3 linked regions of the Astyanax mexicanus genome follow. The protein of the gene in region 3 interacts with the protein of the main gene of each other region in a pairwise test. Links are inferred from orthologs where the notes say so. Each region holds a gene or a part of one and is shown on either strand. Other genes may lie near its edges.

The links.
Region 1: the proteins of c4h5orf22 (region 3) and WW domain-binding protein 11 interact in binary tests that used the Homo sapiens proteins (3 or more experiments, as listed by UniProt). The two-hybrid records come from large-scale screens. The link is inferred for Astyanax mexicanus from reciprocal best matches to the Homo sapiens genes C5orf22 and WBP11.
Region 2: the proteins of c4h5orf22 (region 3) and elof1 interact in binary tests that used the Homo sapiens proteins (3 or more experiments, as listed by UniProt). The two-hybrid records come from large-scale screens. The link is inferred for Astyanax mexicanus from reciprocal best matches to the Homo sapiens genes C5orf22 and ELOF1.

Annotation. Positions count from the first base shown.
Region 1 is NC_064410.1:8,168,371-8,172,126, forward strand, and holds the start of WW domain-binding protein 11, read right to left. Parts: upstream 2,544-3,756; 5' UTR 2,289-2,543; intron 1,559-2,288; 5' UTR 1,549-1,558; coding exon 1,485-1,548; intron 763-1,484; coding exon 731-762; intron 636-730; coding exon 542-635; intron 29-541; coding exon 1-28. UniProt on the Homo sapiens protein: Activates pre-mRNA splicing. May inhibit PP1 phosphatase activity.
Region 2 is NC_064426.1:39,527,210-39,530,965, reverse strand, and holds the start of elof1 (transcription elongation factor 1 homolog), read left to right. Parts: upstream 1-1,446; 5' UTR 1,447-1,457; intron 1,458-3,756. UniProt on the Homo sapiens protein: Factor involved in transcription-coupled nucleotide excision repair (TC-NER), a mechanism that rapidly removes RNA polymerase II-blocking lesions from the transcribed strand of active genes.
Region 3 is NC_064411.1:36,990,805-36,994,560, reverse strand, and holds the start of c4h5orf22 (UPF0489 protein C5orf22 homolog), read right to left. Parts: upstream 2,269-3,756; 5' UTR 2,142-2,268; coding exon 2,073-2,141; intron 1-2,072.

The sequences.
Region 1 (3,756 bases), on a different chromosome or scaffold from region 3:
AGCAGAGGCTGCTGCACCGGGTTAAACTCTACCAGAGAGAAAGAGAAGAACACACACATTAATGAGCAAGAATCTAAGGCTACGTTAAGAGTCCCAGCCCAAATCGGATTTTTGGCAAACCTTGTATTCAGAATGATTTTGATAGTCTGGACAGACAGACACCACAATAAATCTGATAAAAAGGTAATCTGTATATGTACAGATGCTTCTCAAATTTAATTTCAGGTTCCTGTACCTCTTTCACAACACGACAAACAACAACCTCATCACATTTAAAAATGAAAGTGTGAGGATACAAATAGAGCACCAATGGCTAGTTACTGATTCTAACCTGGAAACCACAGCAACCAGTGCAGATATGCTTGTGATGTCCAGACATGCAAATTCAATCTCATCACTTACAAATAATGGACAAGAGCTGACAGTCATCTTAACAGATCTGATATCAGAAACTAATCTGATCTGCCTGCAGTCTGAACTTAGTATGAATATTTAGTTCAAAAGTTCACACTAAACACACACACACACACACAGCTTTTACCCATTTCATCCAGTTTCTCCATATCTCTGATGATCTGGCGGGGGTCCTTCATCTTCAGCACCGCCGCTCTCACCATCATCCTCTGCTTCTTGTTCTAGATCACACACACACAAACACACACAGTAAATCTGCTGTGGCACACAAAACGTATAAACACCTTATGCTCAGTACTGAAAAAGCTGTGTTTACCTTCTTCAACTCCCTCTTCCTGGCCTCCTTTCCTAAACACACACAAACATTAGTTTTAAAAGCATTTTTAGTCTGAGGTATCAGCAGCATTACTATCATGTGAGAGGGAGAAGCACTGAGAGGAAGCAAAAGACTAGGGTGGACAAGTGTATCAGTGTGTGTTCCAGGAAAGATGGAGTGTGAAATTGTGTGTTCAAGGGTGGATGGAGTGTGAGTTTCAGGATGGACAATGTGTGTGTGTGTGTGTGTGTGTTTCTGGGCAGACAGTGTATAACAGGGTGAGTTGGAGGATGGACGTTGGAGTGTGAGAGTGTGCATTACAGAATGGACAGAGTGTGAGAGTTGTCTATTACAGGATAGACAATGTGTAAGATTGTGTGTTACAGGATGGACAGTGTGTAAGAGTGTGGGTTCCATGGCAGATGGAGTGTATAGGAGTGTATGTGAGTGTGTGTGTGTGTGTTTCTGGGCAGACAGTGTATAACAGGGTGAGTTGGAGGATGGACGTTGGAGTGTGAGAGTGTGTATTACAGAATGGACAGAGTGCGAGAGTTGTCTATTACAGGATAGACAATGTGTAAGATTGTGTGTTACAGGATGTACAATGTGTAAGAGTGTGTGTTACAGGATGTACAATGTGTAAGAGTGTGGGTTCCATGGCAGATGGAGTGTATAGGAGTGTATGTGAGTGTGAGTGTGTGTGTGTGTGTGTGTGTGTGTGTGTGTGTGTGTGTGTTACGGGCGGAGAACTTACGGGCCTGATCTGTGGGGTTCATGAACTTCCCACTCTTGGTGGAGGAGGTGGACCTGCGACCCATGGCTGCTCACCTGCAAAATACAACACAAACACACCTTAACACACCTTCACTCACCACACACCTCCCTGTTCTTTTTTCTGCAGTAAATTATGGAAATGAAACACGGCAGACTTTTTCTAAAGGAATTAAGTTAAACTATGTCAGGACATATAGTTTTCCCATGAATGTATAATTAATGTTTATTTAAGTTTGCCTTTCAGACCACTGTAATGTGTGATGTTTATCAGTACATTTTCAACAAGTCAGCTCAAAATGGTTTTCATTAGTATTTACAGTTTTATAAGCTGTGCATTTCTGCCTCTCACAGTCAGAATCTCAGTTAGAGGAAAAAAAATTATTAAATAATTACGTTTTAGATTTTTTCCACTTTTGTTGTTACAGAGTGCCAAAATTGGTTAATCTGATGACTGAACTGATAAATGTTAACTTGTCCCTGTCAGCGAAAGAGCATTAACCCTGTATATGTCCCAAAATGTGCCCTAATAACTGAGAATTTGGCTTTGTTTTCTAGCTAACTTTTCGTTCCACCTTAAAATCTGCAGCACTTGCTGCAGGATTTAAGGTGCACCCAGGAATTGGAAGCTAACTGTGAATTTACGTGCAGCTAATAACGAATTTACGGTTATATCACTCCAAAAACCTTTAAAATACCTGACAATATCAGTAAATAATATTATATTAGTTAAAATATCAGTGAATAATTTAATATTAGTAATAATAGCAATGATAAAGGCAGTTACTGTTTTATTGTCCCGCTAGCCGCTCGGTCTGTCTGGTAAATCTGTGCAGGAGCTCGGATCCTCCGCGCCGGGCAGAAGCGGCCGCTCCGGCGGCGCTGTGCGGGATTATAGATCGGGGTATTGATGAACTCCGGGTTGATTAATTCGCTTTTTGATGTGTTTATGAATCGTTAGCGCTAGCATTAGCGCGCTGTGTGCGAGCCGCCATATTTACTTCCCGCCGTCTTCTTCTGAGCTGGAGGGAAACACAGCGGGGCGACGCAGCGCCTCCTACCGGCCCCTACCACACACTGCACCCCTTACCGACCCCTACAGCACACTGCACCTCCTTCCGGCCCCTACCACAAACTGCACCCCCTACCACACACTTCACCTCCTTCCACACACTGCACCTCCTACCACACCCTTCATCCCCAACCACAAACTGCACGTCATACCAAACACTTCACCCCCAATCACACACTGCACCTCCTACCACATACTGCATCTCCTACCACACACTGCACCCGCTACCACACACTGCGCCCCCTATGACAAACTGCACCTTCTACCACATACTTCACCCCAACCACACATTTAACTCACCACCAAATACTACACCTCATACCATACACTGAACCCCTAGCATATACTGCACATCCTAACATACACTGCACCCCCTACCACACACTTCACCCCAACCACAAACTGCACCTCCTACAACACACTTCACCCCAGTCTGCTGATAATACTTTCAAATAGTTTAAAATTATATGCCACACTGATACACCACTCTGTATTTAAAAGAGGAAATCAATTGGAACATTAATTCCTGTAAGATTAAAAACAATAACCAGAAGAACTCTGGTATGATCTGATGTAATTACTAATAATGCTAATGATAGTGGGTACATTGCACACACAGTGTAGCCTATGGACTGATGAAGCATCTGGTGCTGAGGTGGTGTTATGGGGAATCGGCTTACTCTAACTGTTTATTCTCATAACAGTTGTACTGTACATGCTACTAATACTGATTACTGGACAAAATTGTTGATTACCTAATGCTTTTACATTGCTCTTTGTTAGTTTGCTTTGTTTGCAGTACCTGTAAATATATTTCAATTATATAACACAAAAGTAAACAAAAAAGCATTTTGTTTTTATTGTGTTTCAGTTTTCCATTTTAATTTTGTTACTACTTCGAAATTACGTCACATTTACTAGTCTGAAATCGTCAGAATGAGCTTCCGAGGTGCACTTAAAAGCAGCATCAGTCCCACAGGCAGCAGTAAATATTTCATACATATTATATATATACTGTATATATTCAATTGAGTATTGTGCAGCTGGATGCAGGGCATGTGATTGTGTCTTTGCTATTGTAAGGGCCCAAAAAATATGCCTTATGCGGCTTGAAACGTGCAAAAGGCATGTACTAATTCTCTTAATTAATCATGGGTGTGTTTTGGGTGTAACATGAAAAAAA
Region 2 (3,756 bases), on a different chromosome or scaffold from region 3:
ATCCTCTCTGGTGAGCCGGACCCTCTTGAGCCGACGGCTGAAGCTTCGTGTAAGATTCTGTCCATGTGTTTCGTGCGTTTAGCGCAATCGCTGAGCCCGGACCAGATCTGCCGTGTAGAGTTAGGCTGAAGACATGAACGCGGGCTCACGCAACCCATCTGTTCGAATGCACTCGTCTGTCCTGAATGCACCCTGTTCTCTGGACGCACTTTCGCTCTGACAAGTGCTGTATGGGGTTTGGACGGCTCCCGGGGTCTGTCCTGATCGATGAGTAAGCTGCTGGGATGGTATTAAAGCTTTTTATCGCACTGATCAGAGAAATTAAGCTGCAAAGCCATAGGTATTATGGGAGCTAACCCACTACAAGAAGCTTCCGTCAAAACCCGTCGCTAACACCTTTTCCGGGGAAAGAGAGGGAAAACCTTGACTTAACTTGACTTTTATTTCGCATTATGGGTTCTGGATTAGGTTTTTTTTATTACAGATGTGCACTGACATGCCAAAATGTAGTGTGCTGTGTGTGGACATGCCATCCTTTATTCTCAGTGGACACTGCTGTCCTTGCGTGGTACGTTATCTTTGATGCACGTTACGCAAATTGAAGTTTGTTCATATTTAATTACTTTTATTACTTTAACAAGAGACCCCAGCCCTAAAATGGATTCATTGTGAAACGTTGCCATATAAAGTGGCTTCAGATTGGGAACACTCAGAGCTGTATAAGTTGTAAGGTGTTATCTTGAGAATGAGTGTGCTCATTGTTAAAGGCAGTCCTTATATGAGTCCCACCATTTCCGAAGTTTATAGAAGGGATCACCAGCCAAAGTGGTACAGGGCAATGTTAGCATTGGTAATGATCATAACCAGCGGCATCTGGCTAAAAATGTCCATGTGAAAAGACATGATACTGGTTATGTGATGTGTCTGTGTATATTTGAGAGTATTACCTCAGAAAGATGTCTGTTAATGAATGAAGAACTTCAGGTTTATGGAAAAAAATAAAAAAAAAACCCTCACCCACACTTAGGTTTGGGAACGTACCCAAACTGCACCAAGGACATGTGATATATCTTTCAGTTTCTTTCCCCCCAAACTTCAGTCTCAGCCCGAGTTGGACTTGGCCTTGGCTGTTATTGGCATTACCACCCCTGTAGCTGGCGTCTGTACACATTCTTTAATTGAGCCTTTAAAGCACCCCTCACAATTTTTGTGGTGAGAATTCGAAACCTGTAAACGTTGAGCGGGATAATTATTGTTTAATTCCCCATATTTCATTCCTGAAGGCAGCAATGAGCCTAAGCGATTCAAGCCTTGAATGAAGAACAATTTTACACATTTCCATTAACCTTCTGCAGCTATCCTCGGGGACAGTTAGCCTTTAGCTTTTATGTGGCTCATGGAATCTCAGTGTTCTTGGAGCCAGGAGGACATGAAGGGTTTGTGAGCCTAGCGGAGCTTTTTTTCTTCACAACGGTTCGCCAATCGAGTGACCGGAGAAACAAGCACAAGGGAACAGCCAGCGTGGAAAGAGCCTCCATCCAACGTCTCATATAACCCCAATTAAAGAGCCATTCAGGGCTGTTTCTGCAGAAACCATTTCCAGACCTTCTTCCTTCTCCTCCCCCTCTTTATATCAGTGTCTCTCTTTACCTCATTTTCTCTCTTTCTTTTTCTTTTTGTTCATCTCTGCTGTCCCATTTTCCCACTCTTTTCTCTCTTCCATCTTGCTCTTCATCTCTATCTTGCCAGCACTCCTTCCCGTAGTCTCTGTTGTTTTTTCTTTTCTTCTTTTCTTTCATTTGTCTTACGATCCCAGTGGGGTGACTCGGTGAGGTATTTCCTGCTGTAAGTCTTTCCTGCGCCGCTCTCGCTCTCTGCCCTGGGAGCTGTGAACCAGAGCAGGCGCCCGGCCCGACAGCAATGGGCCAGCAGAGAGCGAAACTCGACCTCCGTCCTGGCCCTGGACTCGTCCAAACATATGAGAGCATTGGAAGCCACGCTGATCCATCAGTAGCATCCACAGATCTGAGATGTTGTCTGGTTGAGACAGATTAAGCAGGGAACTTTGCCCACTCTACCCACGCTTACTTGCTGTAACCATCTCCGACCTGAAAGAGATGTGTGCAGGGAAGGTGGTGTCAGCCAGCAACCCCCTTGTGCTTTGAGCAATGACGGCTTCCTTTGTTCCCAGCAGTCTGCAGGAACTGACGTCAATGGAGATGTTGCTGTTCAAGCTCTGAACAGAGAATGGCCGTCTTTCTGGAACCATTTCAGCTTGGATCGCAAAAAAATGGGAGAAGCTTCCTTTACTTTCTAAGAATGCCGTAGGTGTCGTACCTAATTATCTACCATCTTAATGAATGATTTCACCTGTATTTTTCCATGGAGCATGATTTGTTCCTTTGCAATCTTTCTTGTTTGAATCTTTTTGATCGGTTGACCAACTCTTATGAACATTCCAGGAAACAGGGTTTATTATGCCATGCCATTTATTTTCCACAGAACAGTGGTGCAACTTTAGCTAAGTAGTTAGAGCACTGGGTCATTAATATCAAGATTGTGGGTTTGATACCCAGTTCTGATAATCTTCCCTGGTTGGGCCATTGGGCAAGGCCCTTAACTGTCACTGCTCCAAGGTCACCAGAGAAAGATTGGAGTCCACCCTAAAGTCTCTAGGTTTTGGGTACAACATGGGTACAACAGATTACTCTAGTGATTTCTCAATCTACTTGAAGTTTGTCAGATCCTGGTAGGAAAGCAGAAATTGGTACAACATGTGAAAAAGCAGTTTGACTCACAATTGCCACCCGACCTAGGATTTTCTACAAACCAATCAATGTCAAATATTAGGAAACACAGCTGTCATAGGTAATGTTGATGAAAAAGTTCTTTATTGAACTTGCTAAACTGCAATGTGAAACCAAAGCTGACAAAATTGACCAAATGTCTTGCATACAATGTAAAAAAAAAAAAAAAAACATGAACTTTGTCTCAGACTTTGGTCTGTACTTTGAGGTGTAAAAATGCTTTACACCTGAAGGTTCCAAAAGCATTTGCAGCCTTTTAGCCCAAAGGAGAAGCTTTCAGGTGTTTTCCACACTTCACTGCTTAAGAGTCCCCCAAGGTGTTATATGAACCCTTGAACTTGCACGTACCTCTGAGTGTCTATGAATGGAGCGTCTGTACTTTTGATACAGTATTACGTTTTTTACGGATTCGTTTTTACCTTCATTGATCCCTGATGAATTGACAGAGCTTTAGAAGGCATTTTTGAGGTTCATCACTCGTTTTATTTTGCTAATCGTGGTCAGCGGCAAGAGCTGGTCACCTGACCTTTTCTTTTTCCATTTGTCTTTCCTTATGTCTGTTTTTCTTTCTTTTTTCTTTTTTCCTGTGTCTTTTTTTCTTTGTCCTTCTATATTACTCTGTTCTTTAAGCTGGAGATGGCTGGAACTCATCCTGTGTTTACATGAGATGGGAAGCGGCTCAATGCAGTCCCCCCCCCGCCTCATTTTTTTCCCCCTCCTGCTTCAGGCCGGCAGTTCGGAGGGTAGACGTGGCCAACAGCCCACATCTGCAGTTTGGAGCGATGGAATTTGAAACGGAGGCAAAATATACAGGAGGGTTTGTTTTCATCCCAAGTGCTCCCACAAAGCAGAACAAGAGAAATAGAAAGCCGGAGAAAAAAGGAGAGAAATGAATGCTCAGGCAGTCCGCCGCTGGATCTTCTTTCCATTTTGATGTGAACTGTAATCC
Region 3 (3,756 bases):
CTGAGGCCAAATTTGATTCGCTCATTTATCTGTCTTTGATATAATATCATCTTATTTTTGAGGAGGTTTTCTTTTAAATGTCAAATCATTGCACACACAATCCGAATACCCTGAAGTTTATCAGTAATCAGATCATCACATTTACATGAACTTGAGTAATCAGATAATGAGAAACCCAGAGTTTACTCAGATCAGGAACTAACTAGGTTATTGGTTTGTAAGCAATAAAATTACAGTATAAGATGCAAACATCATGAAAACCTAAACTTCATGACACACTTTTTTTTCAATTGAGCCAAAATATGAAGGTACATCAACTAGATAAAATATTTTGTCTCTATCTCTCTTATCGCTTATAAAAGGTCACCAAACCCTCTGATTTTAGCTGACTCCACCCTCAGCTCAAATCTGAAAAATGTATTAAAAAAAAAAAAAAGCTTAAAAATGTTTTTGTTTGGGTGGGGCACTGGGTGATGCATGGGTTTAGAGAGAGCTAATTGGGCTGAGCAATTTGCCTCTGATAAAGATGCAGATATTTGATTTGGACATTACAAGGGGGTGGTATTATTGATTGACTTATTTGCATACTGTGAGTGTCTGAGTACCAAAGTACATAGACATCTCATCCTTGCCTATAGCACAGTTGAACCTGCAAGGGGACTGCAGAGGTGGAAATAACTGCAATACAAGCTTTTTTTTTAAAGGTTAAGAAAGGTTTATTTAAAAAAAAACTGAAGCAGGACTGGTATGTTTTATTACATCAAAGGAACACATTTCAGCTATTAATGAAAAGAATATGGTTTAGGGGTAAGTACCTCGGTAAACATGGTCTGTTTTTACTCATGCACACACTAAGGGCCTTTTCGCATCATCAGTAGTGTAAAAATTTGATTTCTGCTCTGCTCTCCTCCTAGTACCCCTAAAGAAGTCTAGGGAAGTGCTGCACTAAAATACTAGTTAAAATCATCCATGTTTTTTGGTCTAAAATTTTTCCTTGGTTGCATGAGAAAGAGCCTTAAGTAATTTAAGAATACTAAAGCCCTATACGGGAGGGAATAGTTTCTCAGAGAGACGTCTGTGAAAAATATTTTACACTTCTACTCAGTGATAAAACTCCTGCATCCGGTCTGCAATTGAAAAAAAAAATAGGAGGACTAGTGAGTTTTTTTTTAGAATTTTAGCTTTCTCAGTCACATGACATCGCATTCAGTAGCTCCTCCATTTCCACTCGCTGTTGTGTTTACGTGGATCTCCGTGGAAACGCGCACCCAAAGTGCAATTACGGCATGTGGCAGTGAACAAATTTTATTTAAACTATTTTATTAAACGCGAGGTGATGGAACTCAGAGATGTGCAGAGATGTGCATACTGAGCTAAAATCCACCTCTTTTTAATCAGATTGCTTAATTGGAATTTTGATAAATACTTTGATTTATGAAATTCAAATATGTAGATTATATTACTGATTGAATAATCAGATAACAGAAATCAATATCTGAAAAAATGACAGATTAATCGATTATCAAAATATTTGTTGCAGCCCTACTTTTACACTGTAGGCACACATCTGGCATCACTACAGTAAATAAAGGAGGTTTATCATTAATCTTGTAGCTCCAAATTTGCCCTATTTCTTTTACTGCATTTGTGGTAGAGCAAACTTTGTAAATTAGAGTTTATTGCAATTAAATTAATTAGATTGCAATTGTATTCCGTACACTGTAATATAATATTAACTAAAAGGCTTTTATCACATGTTAAGGGGGTTTTATTAGTTTAGGTTGGATGTTTAATGCTCGAATTAAGACAGTTTTGCAGTTCTGGTCAATTCTCCCCACACTCAGAAATATGACACAGAACTATTATTAATATCTGCTAATATTATAAATACTATTAATATATCAGTCATTATTAATCGCAGCTGTATCTCTAAAGTTTGAGTACTAAGCTAACTAACTAGGTTATCTAACCTAGTTAAAGCTAATAAACACTGTGCTCTGGTTTTTTTTTTTTTAGCCAAACGAGCTCATTTAGCTTAATTTATCTTAGCTTAGCTAGGAGGACTGACTCACTTCATGGTGGTCTTCTACAATCCACACGGGCAGTTTGGAGTAAGTCCGTTTCACCGGCGCTGCTTTCATTTTGATAAATATATAAAAACTGCTGCTGTATTTTAAACGCAGCCTGTCAGAAAGTCATGGTCGTGAGAGTCTAGTAATCAGGCTAGCTGCTAACAACAACAACAGAGGGAAGAGTTTCAGTGAGACACGGTGTAGCCCTGATTCAGCTCCGGGCGGGAACAGCGCTTTACAGTCCGCTCTAAATCAGAAACAGACTGGGAAAAAAATCACATAAACCATTTAAAACAGATAAATTCAATGTATATCAACATGTCGACCTCATATAATCACCTAATTAATATAATAATTTTTTAACTTAATCTTTTTTTAAAAAAAGAAAAAGTATGTAAATTGAGTAAATTGACGTATATGCTTATATTAAAGGAAACTAAACCGTAAACCCAATTTAAAAAAAAATAATAAATAGCTGAAATGTATTCCTCTGAAGCAATAAAACATACAAGTGCTGCTTTTAAAATGTTATAATAATTTTCTAATAAACTCAATAAACTTTCATTTAAGCCAATAAACTCTCTCTGCTGCCCCAACTTTAAACCCATACATCATACGTCCTAGTAGAAATCCCAGATTTAATGTGCTTATTTTAAATTTACACAGCGTATGTGCTAATATATGGTGCTTAGATTTATGTTTATGTACTTCCAATGCTAGTTCTATTCTATTGACATGTTAGATGCCTTAACTTATGTGTTTTGTGACCAGAGTGGTCTCCTGTTGGATAATAGTTGTATATTTGAATGTCATTAACTTTATATGTTTAATGCTCAAACTTTCTGTATTCTTTTTGAAATTGATCTAGCAGTGGTCGTGGCCAAAGTCAAACTGTGCTAATCAATCAAAATCAAATACAGCAGAGGATAAAATCAGGGGTCAGTAATGTATTTTGACCTCCTATTGGTATCTGTATTTGCACATGTTTATAATGCATTTAGTGTCTGGCTGATGAAGAATCTGCCAGGCAGTTTGTTGCAACGACCACTGTGCTTCTTTCAGTCCAGTAATACACCCTTCTTATAGTTTGTCAACTAGGCAAAATGTCTACATGTGCATCATAGGGGCATGTCTAACAGTCAACAGACTCTCATCAAGAGGTTCGCTACCCAAAAGTAACCTCTGTGAGCCTGTTATAGGTAAGTTTATGCCCCCTTGTAGAAAGACCACACCTGTAATTAGTTGCATCTGCCTTAGACATGACTGCTGAGTTTTGCAACAGTGTTGGGTGTATGATTTTTTGTCAGTGAGTGTATTTCTGATTCTGAGGTTAGTGGCGATTCTGAGGTTAGTACCTGCTTGCTGTTTGTTTAGCTCGTCTCTGTTGCTAGTCTCTGTTTTAGCTATTTGTTTACGTTTTCTACTACTTATTAACTTTTAACCGTCTTATAACCTTCCTAAACTTATAAAATCCCTCAGGTAGCCATTATTTTTGTGTTATTTCTCGATTTTTGCCGTTGTTTTTGTGTGTTTGTGCTTACTTCGAGGTAATGGCGTGTGCGGAGGATCGTGCTCTTCTGACACTCAGCGAGGAGCTCGTCTGTCTGGATCAGCAGATCCAGCGCCTGCTCGAGAGGCAGTCGGAGCTCCACCGGCAGAGAACGAGGCTGGAGGAGTCCCACGA